Diceros bicornis minor: one gene and its partner. The protein of the gene in region 1 purifies or fractionates together with the protein of each later gene. This does not show direct contact. Links are inferred from orthologs where the notes say so. Each region holds a gene or a part of one and is shown on either strand. Other genes may lie near its edges.

Region 1 (7,776 bases):
GCCTCAGGATGGACGGAGAAGTGGTGCCTCGGTGTGCGCCCGGGATCCGAACCCGGGCCACCAGCATCGGAGCGCGCACACTTAACCACCAAGCCATGGGTCCAGCCCGTCAAGAATTTTTAAAACTCTATAAAGTGCCTGCAAGTCAGTTTCTGAGCTGCCGTAATTGGGCTCATGTCCATTCCAACAGAATTGCTGAAACCAGACATGCATTTGTTTTACCAAATTTAGAGAGATCTCAAAGAGCAGAAAACAACTTTTAACATATTGCCACGAGTAGGTAAAATGAATAAGAACAACTTGGCTTTGTCAAAAGTTCCTGAATATGGTTTGTCCGTAGTCAAAGTTTGCTACTGTCTGTTAAGCCATATTAATTGTTGACAGTATGATTCTTTCCATCTGTACAATATAAATTTGTAATTTGCTTAAAATCTAAAGGGATCCTGATTTAATTTCCACATCTGTTTTATCTGCAAAAGAAAAAGAAGTATTTTTAAGGTATAGTAGTATAAGTCAACAGGCAGTGGAGAAAACTGCATGGTATGAGTGTGGCAGTGGAACGGTGTGACTTGTATTGTAGGACAGTTTATCTGGGAATGAAGCTAAGGATGATTTTAACAGGGGAAAGGAGATGCAGAAGTGAAGCCCATATTATCGATAGTATGTGTAAGTAATAGTAATGCAAGGGTATAAATTAATATTTTGACAGTAAAATAAAAAGGAAAATATAGATATAAAAACTTTGAATATAGAAACCAGAAGATGAATAAAGGTGTTGGGATCAGGAGGAGGGGTAAGACAGTGACCACTGCTGGGGAGAAAGAGAATAGTGGAAGATTCCTAGCCTGAGTGCTTAGGGGGTTCCATCTTCTACCAGTGGGTCCACTACTACCAATGTACAACAGTCAGGGATTTGGCTGACTTGGAACAAAGCTGAAAAGATGGTCAAACAAAACTTGCTGTAAGAGATGGTATAGTATGTGGGAAAAATTGTGAACTTTGGAGTCAGACAGACTTGGATTGAAATCCAGGCTTCACTACTAATTTTGTGTGCTTACATAACATTAGGATTCTAAATAAAGATAATAATGCCTAATTTCGTGAATATAGTGGTTAATAATACTGCAAATGTGGTAATAATACAAAGTACATGGCCCATTATAGGCTCTATATAAGGAGTAACAATGACATTACTAGTGTTTTATTCATTATAGTCATTTTAATATATTTAAAAAAAAAAAGACATTGATGCGGGAAACGTTTAATAAAGTAGTAATAATCTGCCTAACATGTTCAATTAAAAAAAGAATAATTAAGAGAAAATTATTGCTCCCATTTTTCAGGTCAAAATAATGATGCAAAAATATGGGTACACTGAACGCACATTAAAAGTACAGGTGATTACTAACCGAAATATAGTTCTTGTTCATAAATACTCTCTCTTTAGATCTGTGCTTTCATCATTACATCTAATTTTTAAATGAATTGTAAACATATTTTAATTAGGGTTCATTTCACTCTTGTCTCTGATTAGCTTCATATTTCCAGGAATTTTATTAGTGTGTGTGTGGGCATAAAAAAAAGAAATTTTTTTTTCCTTAGTAATGATGGAAATGACAGTAGCAAGTAGCGTGCTATTTGGGTGTCGAGTTTAAGATATCTTTGAACCCAATATCATGGAGAACAATTCAACAAACATCCTTTGAGCTCCTTATGTGTTATGGACTTTGGGTGGGAAGAGGGTTTACTAAAATGAAGAAGGCTTGTCTCCTGCCGTCATGGAGCATATACTATTTTTTCATGTATAGCCAAGTATAATACAAATTGATCAGCGCTCTAATGAGTGTTCTCACTCAAACAGAAAGATGAATTATGCTGGAAAGGAGAGTGAGTAGAGAAATATTCCAGAAAAAGTGGTAACTGAGCTAAGCCTTGCAGGATCAGTAGGATTATTTAGCGGAATTTAAGGGAAAGGTGTGCAAGGAGAATAGTCTCGGTATTCGTTTGAATGAAAGATGAGGGTCAATTAGCCGAATGCCAAAAAATTTCACGGGTGAGAATTACTTCCATGTTCTTTGATTCAGGTGTCTTACTAACTTGATTTTGTTAATACGTAAAGAGAGGAATGACTCATATTAATTATATTCACAGACAAATAGTAAGAATATCAATGTATTATTCTATTATAAAAATAGTTGCATTATACACCAGAGTACTCAAGCATAGCAGCAAAGAGGGATATACTATTGTAGGAAAATTGGTTAATTGTGGCCATTGAAAATTTCCTCTGTTTCTATCTGCAATCTGGATTAGATTTCTCTATTCAACTCTCTCTTAGCATCTCACGCTGGCTAACTATTTTCATTGAATGTATGAATTGAACTATCAAATCATATCTCATTCCTCATGTCCAAGTTCATGGGAGACAAGTCACTTTCGTATAGTTAGAGTACAGGATGGGTGAAGAGGAAGAAGTAAAAAAGGGAATAGAAAGCAACAGCATATAAAGGAAGAATAACTAATCATGAAAACATCAGGTTTTCCTTTTCTGCTTTTTGAGCCATGGGTTTTGACACAGAGGTACTTCCTTGTTTGCTACTCCGGGCAGTTTTGAGTCTGTTCCTTTTGCTTACTTATCCAGTGCTAAAATTAGCTTATTATTCTCAGTCTAAATTTTTTAAGATGTTGGTAATTAATGGCAAACCGTATGAAACTCATTAACTGGCAATAAGGCAAAATGTGGGATTGGACTTAAAGAGGCTGCTACAATATTGCTCAGTTCAGATGGGTCCCACACGTATTTCTTCCCCTAACTGATCATCACTGATGCACCGGCCCAGAAAAGAGGGGTCTTCAGACCGAATTGATCTTACATACTAAGGCAGGCTATGAAGGCAGTCTCTCTTCTAACGTGAAGGCAGTGGTTCTTGGAACTAGTAGGCTAATGTTGGAAATATTTTTGGAGGAAATAGAACAAAGTGAAGACAGTAAATCCGAACTGGTACCATCTATCTAGGGGTCTACGTGAACAATGAGATCACAGATAAGGAGCCAAACTGAACTGAATGTGGACATTGAGGCCACAGAACCACAGGATGAGGCAATGGAAGGTGGTCTCCATCAATTCCAGAGAGGGAGAGACACCTGCAGCAGCTTTTAGTCACTGAAAGAATGGAGATAAGTCAGCCCGATTTAGTAAGGCTGGAAAGAGGCAAACATCTCCCCATATGTTTTAACCCTAGGGATAACATACACTAAAATTTTCTTTAAAAGCATTTAGCCAAAATTTTTTCATATCTTTAATATATACCACAGTGTCGGACATCCTCTCCAAATATTGAGAGCTACATCTTTCTATTATCAAACTGACCCGAGCACTGTGAAGCCGCCTTTTGAGGGAGCCTTTGTTCGTCAGAATCTCAGGATGAACATGCCCTGAAAAACGTATTCTTTCTTTCAGCAATTGCACCCGGGGGAAAGGTGAAAAATAGCGGCGTGCTCTCTGCTCCTCTCCTTAGTACACTCCACCTTTCAAGAAATTCAGGATCTTTGGAAAGAGAAAGATCTTGACCCCCATGAGACACTACAGGCCTTTTTTAGGAAGGAGAGATGTATAATATATGAGGTTGAATTTATGGGAGAAAATAAAAACAAAAAAGAGTTGAATCTTGGGCTGCAGAGAGCAGATAATCCAGAAGATTTAATGATGGAGTCTGCTGAAATTATATTCTTTGAAAATGTTATAAGAGAGCTAGGAGAGTGTGCTCAATATTTGATTAAAGGCAAAAATAGGTGATCTTGTGTTTAAAACAAGATATACTAAACAAATATGTCAATCTTTAACGACAATAATTGATTCTTGTTGAATCTGGATAAATTTAAACAGTATACCTTGTTTATTACAGTGTTATCAGGCATTTGAATTTACATTGCAAATTTATAATTCAACCTGATTTGAGTTTTTTCCCCATAAATCTCAACATATGTATTACATTCTTTGGTATGCCTTTAATCTTAAATTTACAAACAAATGGTTATCAACTCAGATGTTTTGAGTTTGGGGAAGAAATATTTGAACGGATTTCCTTTTTAAAGTCTTATATTGTTCATCTTCAAAATGTACACATTTTATATTTTGAGTTTGGTATAAATTTTGCCTTTCTAAGGAATGCCCTAGGTTATTCATCTTTTCAATTTAGTTCTTGCTTGTTTGGAAAGAAAGAGGAAGCAATTAACTACTTAAGGACAAGAAGTACTTCCAGACACACACACACACACACACACACACACACACACACACACACACACACACAGGCATCCACGTAATTTAGGCCCTGTTAACTTACATACTATTTAAGCATGTTTTCTGACTTCAAATCCTGGTCCTGATCAGTAAACATTTACATTTCAGCTTCTCCGAAAACAGTGCTTTCCTGCTCTTCTTCTTTAATTCCACCTTAAGACATCTGCCAAGACTAAAGGAAACCAGCCCACATTTTAGCCCCTCCTACCAAGGATAAGGCATTAACTTCTCTGTAGTGCCGGGCTGAAAAAGGATCCTGACAGAAAGCTAGAGGCGTAAAGGAGCCTGAAGAATCTCATGTAACTCTGGGAACTGTAAGCAATATATTTACTCTTCCCTCCCTCCACTTCTCTCTCCCACCCTCCTTAGCTTTTAGTTTGTATCATACTTGGAAGGAAGAAAGGACGGAGGGAAACCTAGTAGTTCATGGCTTTAAAACGTCTGCATGTCCTCTGTCCTTTGAAATGAGACACAGATCAGGGAACTTAATTTCCTTCTAACAAACGCCAGTTTGCTTTCCGAGGTCTCAATGCACTGTGGAGTCAACGATAAGGTGTTTCCTTCACTTACAGCCCCCGAACGAAAGCGAACATCCGAAACGGCGGCGAGGTGGCACGGACTAGTCCTCCGCGTGATGCCACCCAGCGGTTCCGATCCCCGTACTTGAGCAGCGTGCTGTGTGACACCCCTAACGATCTTTAGCGGCGGAATTTGTTCGCTCATTTAAGTTTTAATTAAAAAAAAAAAAGTCATTTCGGTTACTTATACAAAGCATTCCTGCGTCTTGAATATGTTGCAGCGTTACGCGAAAAGAAAGACAATGTTAAAAAATTAATTGTAAACCGACTGGTATTGTGATTTGCCCTTCCACTAAGTTGTTTGACATGCCAGGAGCACAGAGCTCAGAACTAGATACTGGAAAAGATTTGATCAAATAAGAAAGGTTAATTTTGAATGTGAATACTATTTTAGTAATTTTGTTTTAGAAGCGGTAAAAAGGGCATTTAAATTTGAAATAATAGTGGCTTAACATGTCTAAGTCTCGTACAACTTATAATCTTTTTAGAATTAAAAATAATGATTTTTCATCTCAAAAATTAGAACAAGAAATGCTCCTCACACTGGTTGATGATGTAAGCCTTGCTTCCGCCAAGGCAGATGGAGAGTACTAGAGGTCTACCATTGGATAGTGTCCATTCTAAGTTACCGTATTTGCATAGATCACCCTTTGGTTTCAAGGAGAATTCGGATTTTGTTTTGTTTCTATTTGTTCTGTAAATTTGGAATTGTAGCCCAAGAGATATTTGCTGGGTATAGTAGTGAAACAAACCCTCTTAAGAGTTTTTAAACTGTATTCCAGAGGTCCCTAGACCTTGCCAATCAAATTTGATGTTGGGGTAAGAAACAGGTTATTTTCTTCTTTCGTTGAGTAGAGGAAGAGTTAAATTTTAAATTAAGCAATAATTGTGAAATGCATAGAGAAGTGTTCACTCTGCATTTTCTCAAAGCGGCTTTACAAACTTCCTGTAGAGGAAGCACATTTTATAAGACCAAAAACTGCTTCTTTTTAACCAAGTCACTTTTGAAGTATTTTGCATTTATATTTAATTAGCAAAAGGAAAATTATTAAATATATTTCTTAGTATCTGATACAGTTCATTCCGTAGAGATAATGTGGCCTGTGTTTTTAACCTATCACTATCATTCCTAGTGTCACTGCTTAGAAAGCAAAGTCATAAAACCAAGTTATTTACATATTAAAAAGTATGTTCCAGGAATAAAAAAGAGGAAGACAGAATTAGTTGTGGTTCCTTTTCTCCTCCCATGCTTTTTATTTATCATCAGTTTTTTTTTCTCCTTTTGCTTTCAGATTTTATAGCTTTAGTTACTTTCAGCCATTTGTTTTTAATCTCAGACCCTTTTACAAATCTTATAAAAGCTGTAAACCCCTCCCCAGAATGATATGCTCCTCCAACAGGCACACATTTGGAAATACCTTCAGGAAGTTCACAAACACCCCAAATCATTCATGTCACACGAAGATGAAGTATGTCTATAACTTGGGAGTTTTCTGATAATATTAAATAATTAATTAGCAAATCATTTTACTTGTAAGTAAAGAACTGCCTAACAGTGGATATTGCAAGGCCCATACTGTCACTTATTCATTAGTGTTCTGGAACTCCAAGCAATTTTGTGTAATTGAAAGAACTACCTGCCTGGAAACCAAGTGACCTAGATTCTAGACTCAACCCCAATAATAATTAGCTGTACAATATTAAGCTTGCCGTTTTTCTATAACATCCGACATTTTTTATTGCTGGATACAATAAGTAGAACATAATAGGAAAATAAGAGGCAAGTTATTTTTGATTGGATTGTGGGCTGTCTATATTTTCTGTTTTTAACCCAAAATTTCTAACAATATTTCTAGCATAATTATGTTTTATAATATTCTTGCTTATTACGAAGATAATTTATGCTCACCGTTTAAATTTTGTTAAATATAGAAAATTGCAAAGAAGAAATGGAAAAAATTACCTATAATCTCCCCCAAGGAGTAACTACTTTAAAAATGTCATTCATTCATTTTTTTCAATCAACAAATATTTATTGAATATATAACATGCATCAGCACACAGACAAAAAGACAAGGAATTCACGTATGTACACCTCTTTATACTCCTAGACATTTTTCTATACGTTGACTCACTTGTAGATTTTACAAAATTGTGAGCACACTTGTTAAAAGATTAACTGAGACATTTTAAAAATTTTATTTATTTATTTATTTTTTGTGTGTGTGTGTGAGGAGATCAGCCCTGAGCTAACATCCGCCAGTCCTCCTCCTTTTTTGCTGAGGAAGACGGCCCTGGGCTAACATCGGTGCCTATCTTCCTCCACTTTATATGGGACGCCGCCACAGCATGGCTTACCAAGCAGTGCGTCGGTGCGCGCCCGGGATCCGAACCAGCGAACCCCGGGCTGCCGCAGCGGAGCACACGCACTTAACCGCTTGCGCCACCGGGCCGGCCCCTAAAAATTTTAAGAGTTTATCCGAGCAAAAAATCAATTTGAATGGGGCAGTACCAGACTGACGGGAGCTCAGGGAAAGACCTTCAGAGAGAAAAGGCAGAAGCAAAGTAAGGAAATGATTGATTGGCTATAGCTTAAAGTCTAGCTGGCTGTTTGTGATTGGTTGTGATTGGTTTCAATTTTGTAACCTTGAGGCATTTATGGGCCTAGATTTTGGTTTGCTTCTGTAGGCCGCCATGGCATTAGAGCCAGCTCAGTCGAGAGGCCTCCTTGTTTTATTAATTTCACACACTGTTCATGCTGTTTTATAACATGGTTTCCCTTGATCACGATATTTGCTGTTAAAACATGGTTTTTTAATACTTGTGCATTATTTTGTATTCATTCATTTCTTAAACAAATGTTATCGAGTGCCTGCTATGTGTCAGGCAGTGTGT
Region 2 (8,260 bases), about 25 Mb from region 1:
TCAGCTTCTGCTGCTCCCAGAGATAAGAGCCTGGCAAGCGCAGCCGAGGTAGAGCTGTCCTGGCACCCTAGAGGGAAGTCTGCTCAAAGGCGTTTACCCACAAATCATACACTGGAGAGCTTGGGCCATGCCATAGGCCCACTTGGCCTCCTTAAAGCTTCTGCTCCGCAGAGTAAGGGATCACAAAGAGGCTGGATCTGCTATCCAGAACCCACTGCCTGCTGGGGCTCAGTCATATGCCTTCATGGTCATATCCAGAACCTGCTGCCTGCTGGGGCCCAGCCAGATGCCTTCATGGTTATTAGTCAGTTCATTCTATGCCATTGCCCCAGAAGACAGGTGTCTAACCTGATTTTACCCATAAGGAGACTCAGGTTCTCAGTGGTGAGAGCCCAGAGCCACATAGCTGGTAAGTGGGAGAGTCATCCCTCTCCCTTTCCATTTTTTTTTTGTGTGTGTGAGGAAGATCAGCCCTGAACTGACATCCATGCCAATCCTCCTCTTTCAGCTGAGGAAGACTGGCCCTGGGCTAACATCTATGCCTATCTTCCTCCACTTTATATGGGATGCCGCCACAGCATGGCCTGACAAATGGTACCTCGGTGTGCGCCCGGGATCCAAACCCGGGCCGCCAGCAGCAGAGCCTGCACACTTAACCGGTACGCCATGGTATCCCTCTCCCTTTAACGTTCTCCAGTGGCTCCTTGTTACCTTCAGAAAGGAGCTCCAAACTCCTTAGCAGATTATCTCAGGTGTCCCAGGAAAGGCACCTCATCTCCAGACTCATCCCCGTCCAAAGCCCTAAGGGACTGCATACAACCCCATGCAGAACTCGGGTCAATTCCTAGAAGAGATGCACTACCTCACAATTCCATGATCTCACACGTGCTTTTCCCTCCTGTCTGCCCCCAAAGAACATGGCCAATTCCTACCTGTCCTTTAAGATACACATAAACAGACAAACAAAAGCCCCTGAGAGGATTCTACCCTAAGAAATAAACATGTGGGCAAAGATGTTTATTCAAAAGTAGTCCTTTTATACATAATTATTATTTATGACAGTAAAAAACTGGTAACAACCTAAATGTTCAAAAAATATAGGGAACATTTAATAAATTATATTTCCCTATTTAGGATGTACTAGTATATCCACCCTTGAGGGTTTGTTGTTTTGTTTTGTTTTTTGGATTGCCAGCAAAAAGAATTGACCAAGCAACTGTAAATCAGTGGTCCTCAACAGAAGTGCCATGGGGTACTGCTGTGACTCTTACTAGGGCTTGGTAATTGACAGATAAAGTTTCCTTTTGCTACAACTGTTATTCACGCCATGTCTGGGCAGACAGAATGTTGAGCTAGGCTGCACACAGTTTCTGTGTGGTGCAGGGCACGACTTGATACACACAAAGAAACTTGCTTGCCAGGACCTGTGAGAACTTTGCCCCATGAGTATCTAAGAGAGAGTGATCAGAGCAGTAAATCCTACTCAAACACTGACACGTTGCTGAAGTGTGATCAGTATAATTGACCTTTATTGACCTACCAGTACATACTATACATGCAACTTAATCCTTTTGAATGTGCTGCCAGAAATACTAGCATCAAAAGAATGCCACTCTATTCGTTAGAGTTATGCCGTAACAAATAAACCCCCAAATCCTGGGGTTCTTCCTCACTCACATAACTAGTCCAATGAGGGCATTCCTGGTCAGCTGGTGGTTTTCCTCCACTTGGTGATTCAGGGACCCAAGCTCCTTCCAATTGTGGCTCTTCCACTCCTAGAGCCTCAGAGTCCAGCAGATGGAGAGAAAGAATGTGGAACAGTCACCTCTTAACCACCTTGGCCTGCAAGTGACACATCACTTCCAGTTCCATTCTGTTGGTGACTAGTCAGAGTCTTACCTAGGTGCAAGAGTTGCCAGGATCACAATCCCTGGCTGAGCAGCCACTTCCCAGCAACACTTCTACACTATGACGGGAAGAACACACATTTCTGGTGGACAATCCGCCCTCTTTGCTACAGCCACAAACCCAAAAAAGTTGAGAACCATTGGGTAACGATTTTGTTTCCACATGGAGAAGTGGGAAAATACCCAATAGTGCCTCATTAGTAAAACAATGCCTCCTGCTCCTGGCCTTTTGTACACTGAGTGTATCACAGGCCTGGTGGAGAACTTGAACATTGCCTCATCTTCAGTCCAGGGACCATACTGGCTTGGGCCTCTGTGCCCATTCCTTTGATGGCCATTCAGTCTGCTCCTCTCCACACATCTCTCCTTCACCCTCTGCCACCCCAACCTCCTTCTTGGTCAGCTCTGACTCAGATGCTGGTCCCTGGTCCCATCAGTTGTCACTAGGGAAACAGAGCTGGCTCCACCATGTGCATGTGGTTTACAACGCATACCACTTTCTGGAGAAAGAACTGCCTGGGACCACTTCTCCTAGAGAGAGAGTATTGGCATGGCAGGTACTTAGAGCTTTCTTGACCTATCGGTACACAGAGTTATAAAACGCCACAAGAGGGCAGGGATAATGTCCATCATGCTGACCATTGTCACCACTATATCCACAGCACTTAGCACAGTGTTTCAGAAACCCAGGTCTCTTCCATCTTGTGGAGCTGCAGCCAGTAGGGCCTGGGAGCCCTAGAGTCTGGCTGGCAGGCTGGAGAAGAGAGTAGAGAAGCCACAGTGTAGTTGAATAGTTACCTGTTGAATGAAAAAAATAATAATAATGAATAAATGAATGAACACTCATGCTCTTGATAAATATTTCACAGAAAATAGTCAAGATAAAGCATTACAGGATGAAAATAGAATACTGTACGTAATTTTATAATCAGTGTGATCACAACTTAGGAATCTCACATCAAAAGTAAAAAGAATGAATTTACTTATTTTTAACAATTTTCAGCACTTCCTAGCCCTTTCACTAAATAACTACCATCCAACCCACCAATTAATTTAATAGCAGTTGTCACAATGACTATTGTTTGCCAATTCTGGCTGATGCCTGACAACTCCAAGGAAAAATGGATACACTCCGTTGGGGTAGAGAAGGCTTCTGAGTTTTTTCTTCCTATTGGATTGCATCTGGAACTTTTCCTTTGCTGCCCACTTTTTTAGTGGGCAAATTTTATGTTTGCTGAAAGGTGGGAGAGACAACCTGGATCCAGGTCTGTTGCCTCAACTCATTTTCTCTGAATTCTCTTTAGGGATCAAATTCAAGAATGCCCTTTTGGTTCAATTTTCAAAAAATATTAATAATTTTCCCCCAAGTCCCCAAGTTATGTAAATATATATTATATATGCATGAAAAGACTTAGAAGGAAAGACATAAAAGTGTTCATCTTTGGTTCACGGGTTTATAAATAATTGTATTTTCTTTTTTATACATTGCCATATTTTCCAAACCTTCTACAATAAGAATGTAAGCTTTTTTACAATCAGATTTAAAAGGCAAGAGTGTCATTGTTATTTTTAAAGCATCTATCAAATGTTGCCTCCTCCAGGAATAGTTCTGTGACCACTCCAAGGGGACTTGCAGGCCCCTCCTCAACGTTCTTATAATGTCTGATAGTGTCCTCTACCATTCACTGAGCATGCTGGGTTTTAATTGTTTACTTATCTTTCTCCCAACAAGACTTGAAGCTCTTTGAGGGAAGAGACTGATTCTTTAACCTCTGAATCCCCAGGGCCTAGCACACACTAAGCATTCCTAAAGGTTTGTGAATCAAATGAAATCAAATAAACAGGAGTATATAAACTCAGGCGTTGTCACTCTAAATCCAGTTGCATCTTCCCTGGGAATAAAGGGATCCAGGATTTTCTCCACTCTTGACTGTAACCTGGGGCCTGGGAAGAACTTGGGAAGCATATGGGAAGAGTTTGAAGAACTGCCCCCAGAACAGTCAGCACCAAGGTCGCAGGAACTCAGTGGGAGTGAGAGCTGAAATCCAAGTTGGGTTTTCCTGGCAAGAGCCAAGAGTAGTCACATGGTGACACTTGGAGGATTCCCCGAGTCTGCTCATTCCTTCGGGATCACTCACTCCTCTGAGGACCTCCCCTGGGAACAAAGGAAAACCCAGGACTTGGGACTGGGCCCATTTCCACCAACAGCTGCTAGTACTTTGCATTTAACCCTAAACCACAATTAAAATAAATGTCAAGAGGGAAAGGGGAATACCATCCGCTAGGAAACACTTAGGTATTCTCTAAATTTCTTCCAGAAATTTCTTCTAAAGGACCAAACAGGCGAAGTACAGGACAGAAAGAAGCAGGGTTTGAATCTTCCGTTTTAACAGTATCAACCACAACTGAAGCTGAACTATCGACCAAGTGAAGCCATACACAAGAGTGGTAAATCCCTGGTCAACAGAGGGTTTGTAACGCCCTCGAGCTGACAAGCCGAACTGCACCCTCTCTGCCCCAACCCCGCGGGACAGGCGGGGGCAGGGACCTCGGCTTATTCCAGATGCCCGCGGACCCGCGGGCGCAGGCCGCGAAACCCCTCCGTACCGACCTCCTAGGGCCTAATCTGAGCACAACCCAGCCTGACGCCCGCGCGGTCGTTAGCACTCCACGTGCCCCCTCCCTGCAGTGTCATCTAGAAAACAGAAATTCCAAGACCTGTAGGTTACCGAAGAGCCGCTTACATCTGGTTCCGGGCCAGCGAGCCCCACCCGCAGAACGTCTGGATTCTTTGATTTCCACACTCACTCACTTTCTAAAACCAAACCCGAGAGGAAGGGCACGGCCGAGGGTGCGGAGGGATGTCCTGAACTGTACGAGAGCATTCCAGTAGGCAGAGAAGTTTACAACACGTCCTGTAAAGCTCTCACTGGGGGCGGGGGGAGGCCAGGAGCGAGGCTCCTCTCTGCACAGCCTCACAGAGAGCAGGGTGTGCGCGCTGCGCCCATGTGGGGGGTGGGGGCAGGAAGAGGAGGGAGGAGAAGGGGTGGGGTGAGCCGAGGCCCCGACACCGGCCCAGGCTCCTCCCGCCTCCCCCCACCCCCACGTACTAAAGCGCCCTGCCCGCCGCGCTCTCTTCACTGGCCGCGCGTCCCAGCCGCCGAGTGTCTGCGTTGCGTCTCCGGCCAAGGTGAGTTCTGCTCGCCGACCCCGGGCTGTCTCCAGCCCCGGACCCGGTGCTCGGCGGGAACATCGGCTGCTCTGGCCCACCGGGCCGGGCCTCGCGGGGTGGTCGGGCGCCGGCGGTTCTGGGCGGGGGGCGGCTGAGGGGTATCCGCTGCTCCGCCCTCTGGGCTACATCCAGGCGAGGCGAGCAGCGCCCCTGTCCGGCCCGGCGCGACCCCTCCCTAGATCCTCGCGGACGGGAGGACGGGACACTTGTCCTTTCCTGCAGGACCTGGGCGATGGTGCCCCGCGATCTGCTTTCTTCTCCCTGTTTAATTTTCTTTACTCCCACTTTCCTACTTTTGGATTAGTCTCCCGAGTTATCCGAACCCCCATGTCTCTCCCGCGTCCTCGCCGGCATGTTGCTTTGTGGGCTCTGGCTGCAGGCTGACCTCCGCCCAGATGTTCCCAGCCTCCTAGCTGGACGGCCCGAGCAGGCATGGGGAGGGCTGGGCGGGTTGGCAGCTGGCGGATTCCCTTCCTAAGGGACACTCCTCAGTCCCTCGCCCACAGGCTTCAGGTTGGGCTTCCTGTTGTTTGTCTGCTAGAAAGGAAGGTTCTTACTGCCCAGGGAGGAAGATATATTTGTTTTCTTTATAAAGCAGTTTTGCTAGGGGGCAGTGGGGGAGAGGGCACTATGCGAAGTGATTTCCCTATTGAAAGGGTTCCCTTCTTGCTATCTTAATCAAACTAGTGGAACTATAAAGAGATAGGGGAAGAGGAGGCTTGGTGAAGGATCTTCCAAACTAGATTAATCTGGCCCAGTGCAATGAGGCAGAGAGAGACGTGCTGTTGGTACCTGGTCACAACTTGAGTTGGCTAAAGGAATGGCGCTCCCCAGCCCCAGCTGGTCTCCACCTAACTGAAACCGGGATGCTGCCATGCTGGGTGGGGGTGGTGAGGAAAGCGGAGCAGCTACGGACCAGCTACAAAGAGCCCTAGGCCAGACTCTGGAATACATTAAGCACACCCCCCTTCCCTCCCTTGGGGAGCTGGAAGCATTCTGCAGGGCGTGGTTAGCACAAAAAGGGCTCCCAGATTCTCCTAGTGGAGGCCTGTGACTCAGCTGTGAGACCATGTGGGTGTGGCCCTGATGGCTCCAGATTCTCTCTGCAGATGGTTCAGACAGAATGCTCCCTAAAGGAAAAGGGGAACTGTGCCATCTTAGAGGGCATTTTCCAGGAGGAAGTGAGTCACACCAGAGCTGGCCGGCAATCTGAAGGAGAGGTTTCTTGACTGAACTGTGGGTGAGGGCAGCAGTTAGACTGGCAGGGCCTTGGTGAGACCGCTGCTGGGTTATCAGCCAGTCTGCCTGCTGGCGGATTGCCTCAGCTTTACTTGGGAGGTTGCTTTTCCGTTAAGAGGTTTGCACTGCTGCAGATTTTTTTCCCCTGCAGCTTGTGTTTCAACCAAGCGGATTTTTATATCCTGCACTTCAGGTGAGGCCAGGCTCATGGAAACACCCTGTCAGTGATCTTTGCCTCCAACGTGTTTCAGCAAATTGCAAAAGATAGTGCCAGGGATTGGGGCAGGAATGAGTTCATATAACTCATTTGAAATTTCTTCATCAGCCCTGCCCCCACAGGTTCTTATCCAGTGTCTACTTAATCATCTCTTCTCAATAGTATATGCCTTCCTTGATAGCCAGAAGCTACTTTCTTCATCGTGGTCCTTGATCTACCATATGGAGTTTCTTATTTCAGTTCTTGATATTTTCTTGAGGGTCTGCTGGGCATAAAGCATTTTGATTTCTAGGTGATGCTCTTCCCTGGCTTTTCCTGCATACAATCAGATGGGCCTTTTCCTCCCATATCTGGACTCAGGCCAGCCCCACAAGCAGCTACCCAGTGATGTTAAGTCTTGGGCTGAGTAGAGCTGAGACTGGGTGCCTCCCTGCTTTCCACTGACAGTTCCAAAAATGTGACTTTTTTAGAGCACTACCCACTTGGTATGGCCTTGGACACAGTCCAGTCTATTAAAGTTGAGGGAACAATGGAATTCTTTCAGGGTTATAATGTATAAATTAGCACTCAGAGTGCTGGGAGAGCTGGACTGAAGTTTTAGGATCTTTCTTAAGCTTCTCATTTTCCTGGGACTCAACAATTTAGGAATCTCACATCAAAAGTAAAAAGAATGAATTTACTTATTTTTAACAATTTTCAGCACTTCCTAGCCCTTTCACGAAATAACTACCACCTGACCCACCCAATGGCTTTAATAGCAGTTCTCACAGTGGCTATTGTTTGCCAATTCCGGCTGATGCCTGACAACTCCAAGGAAAAATGGATATACTCCGTTGGGGTAGAGAAGTCTTTTGAGTTTTTTCTTCCTATTGGATTGCATCTGAAACTTTTCCTTTGCTGCCCACGTTTTTAGTGGGCAAATTTTATGTTTGCTGAAAGGTAGGAGAGACAACCTGGATCCAGATCCGTTGCCTCAACTCATTTTCTCTGAATTGTCTTTAGGGATCAAATTCACGAATGCCTTCTGGGTTCAGTTTTCCCGTCCAAAAAATGTTTTCTTCATCTTAAAATCGCTAAAGCAAAAGGAAGGAAACCTCAAACACATTTTAAATAACAGATGTTTGTTTTTACTGACACCCTGCCAATTATTTTCTGGGTGGGCTGTAAGAAAACTAGGGTATGGACAAGACACAGAAGAGCAAAGTAAATCAGACCTCTTGCTCTTTAGAAGTGTCCTTTTTGAAATTACGGCCCGGATCTGGGCGTGGGTCCAGAGCAAACATTTGGGACTGCTCAGGAGCAGACACTTTTCTAAGGAGGCCTCCTGCTTCCCTGCTACTCCCAGGAGGATCAAAATTTACATTATTGTCAATTTCATTCTTACCAATTCATTGAGCAGGCGCTATAAGGGCAGTGGCTAGCTACTGGGACCCTGCTCAAGGAGTCCCTAGTCTAGAGGGGAAAGAAGTAGAAACACAGTTAAGTAGAATTCAGGACATATTTTTAAATAGTATGCCATTAGCTGGTGAACTCCTCAAAGGCAAGCACCATGGAGTGTGTGTGTGTGTGTGTGCTCGTGAGCGAGTGTGCCTAATGCCATGATCAGGTCATGCAAAGTAGTTGCTTAGTGTAGGAGAACCAAAAATGGAAAATTGAATTCCCACC

Evidence for each region.
Region 2: the proteins of PLA2G4A (region 1) and S100A10 purify together in Homo sapiens (affinity purification with western blotting; 3 studies listed by BioGRID). This does not show direct contact. The link is inferred for Diceros bicornis minor from reciprocal best matches to the Homo sapiens genes PLA2G4A and S100A10.

What each region holds. Positions count from the first base shown.
Region 1 is NC_080743.1:80,990,464-80,998,239, reverse strand, and holds the start of PLA2G4A (cytosolic phospholipase A2), read left to right. Parts: upstream 1-4,540; 5' UTR 4,541-4,617; intron 4,618-7,776. UniProt on the Homo sapiens protein: Has primarily calcium-dependent phospholipase and lysophospholipase activities, with a major role in membrane lipid remodeling and biosynthesis of lipid mediators of the inflammatory response.
Region 2 is NC_080743.1:56,176,491-56,184,750, reverse strand, and holds the start of S100A10 (protein S100-A10), read left to right. Parts: upstream 1-4,998; 5' UTR 4,999-5,097; intron 5,098-8,260. UniProt on the Homo sapiens protein: Because S100A10 induces the dimerization of ANXA2/p36, it may function as a regulator of protein phosphorylation in that the ANXA2 monomer is the preferred target (in vitro) of tyrosine-specific kinase.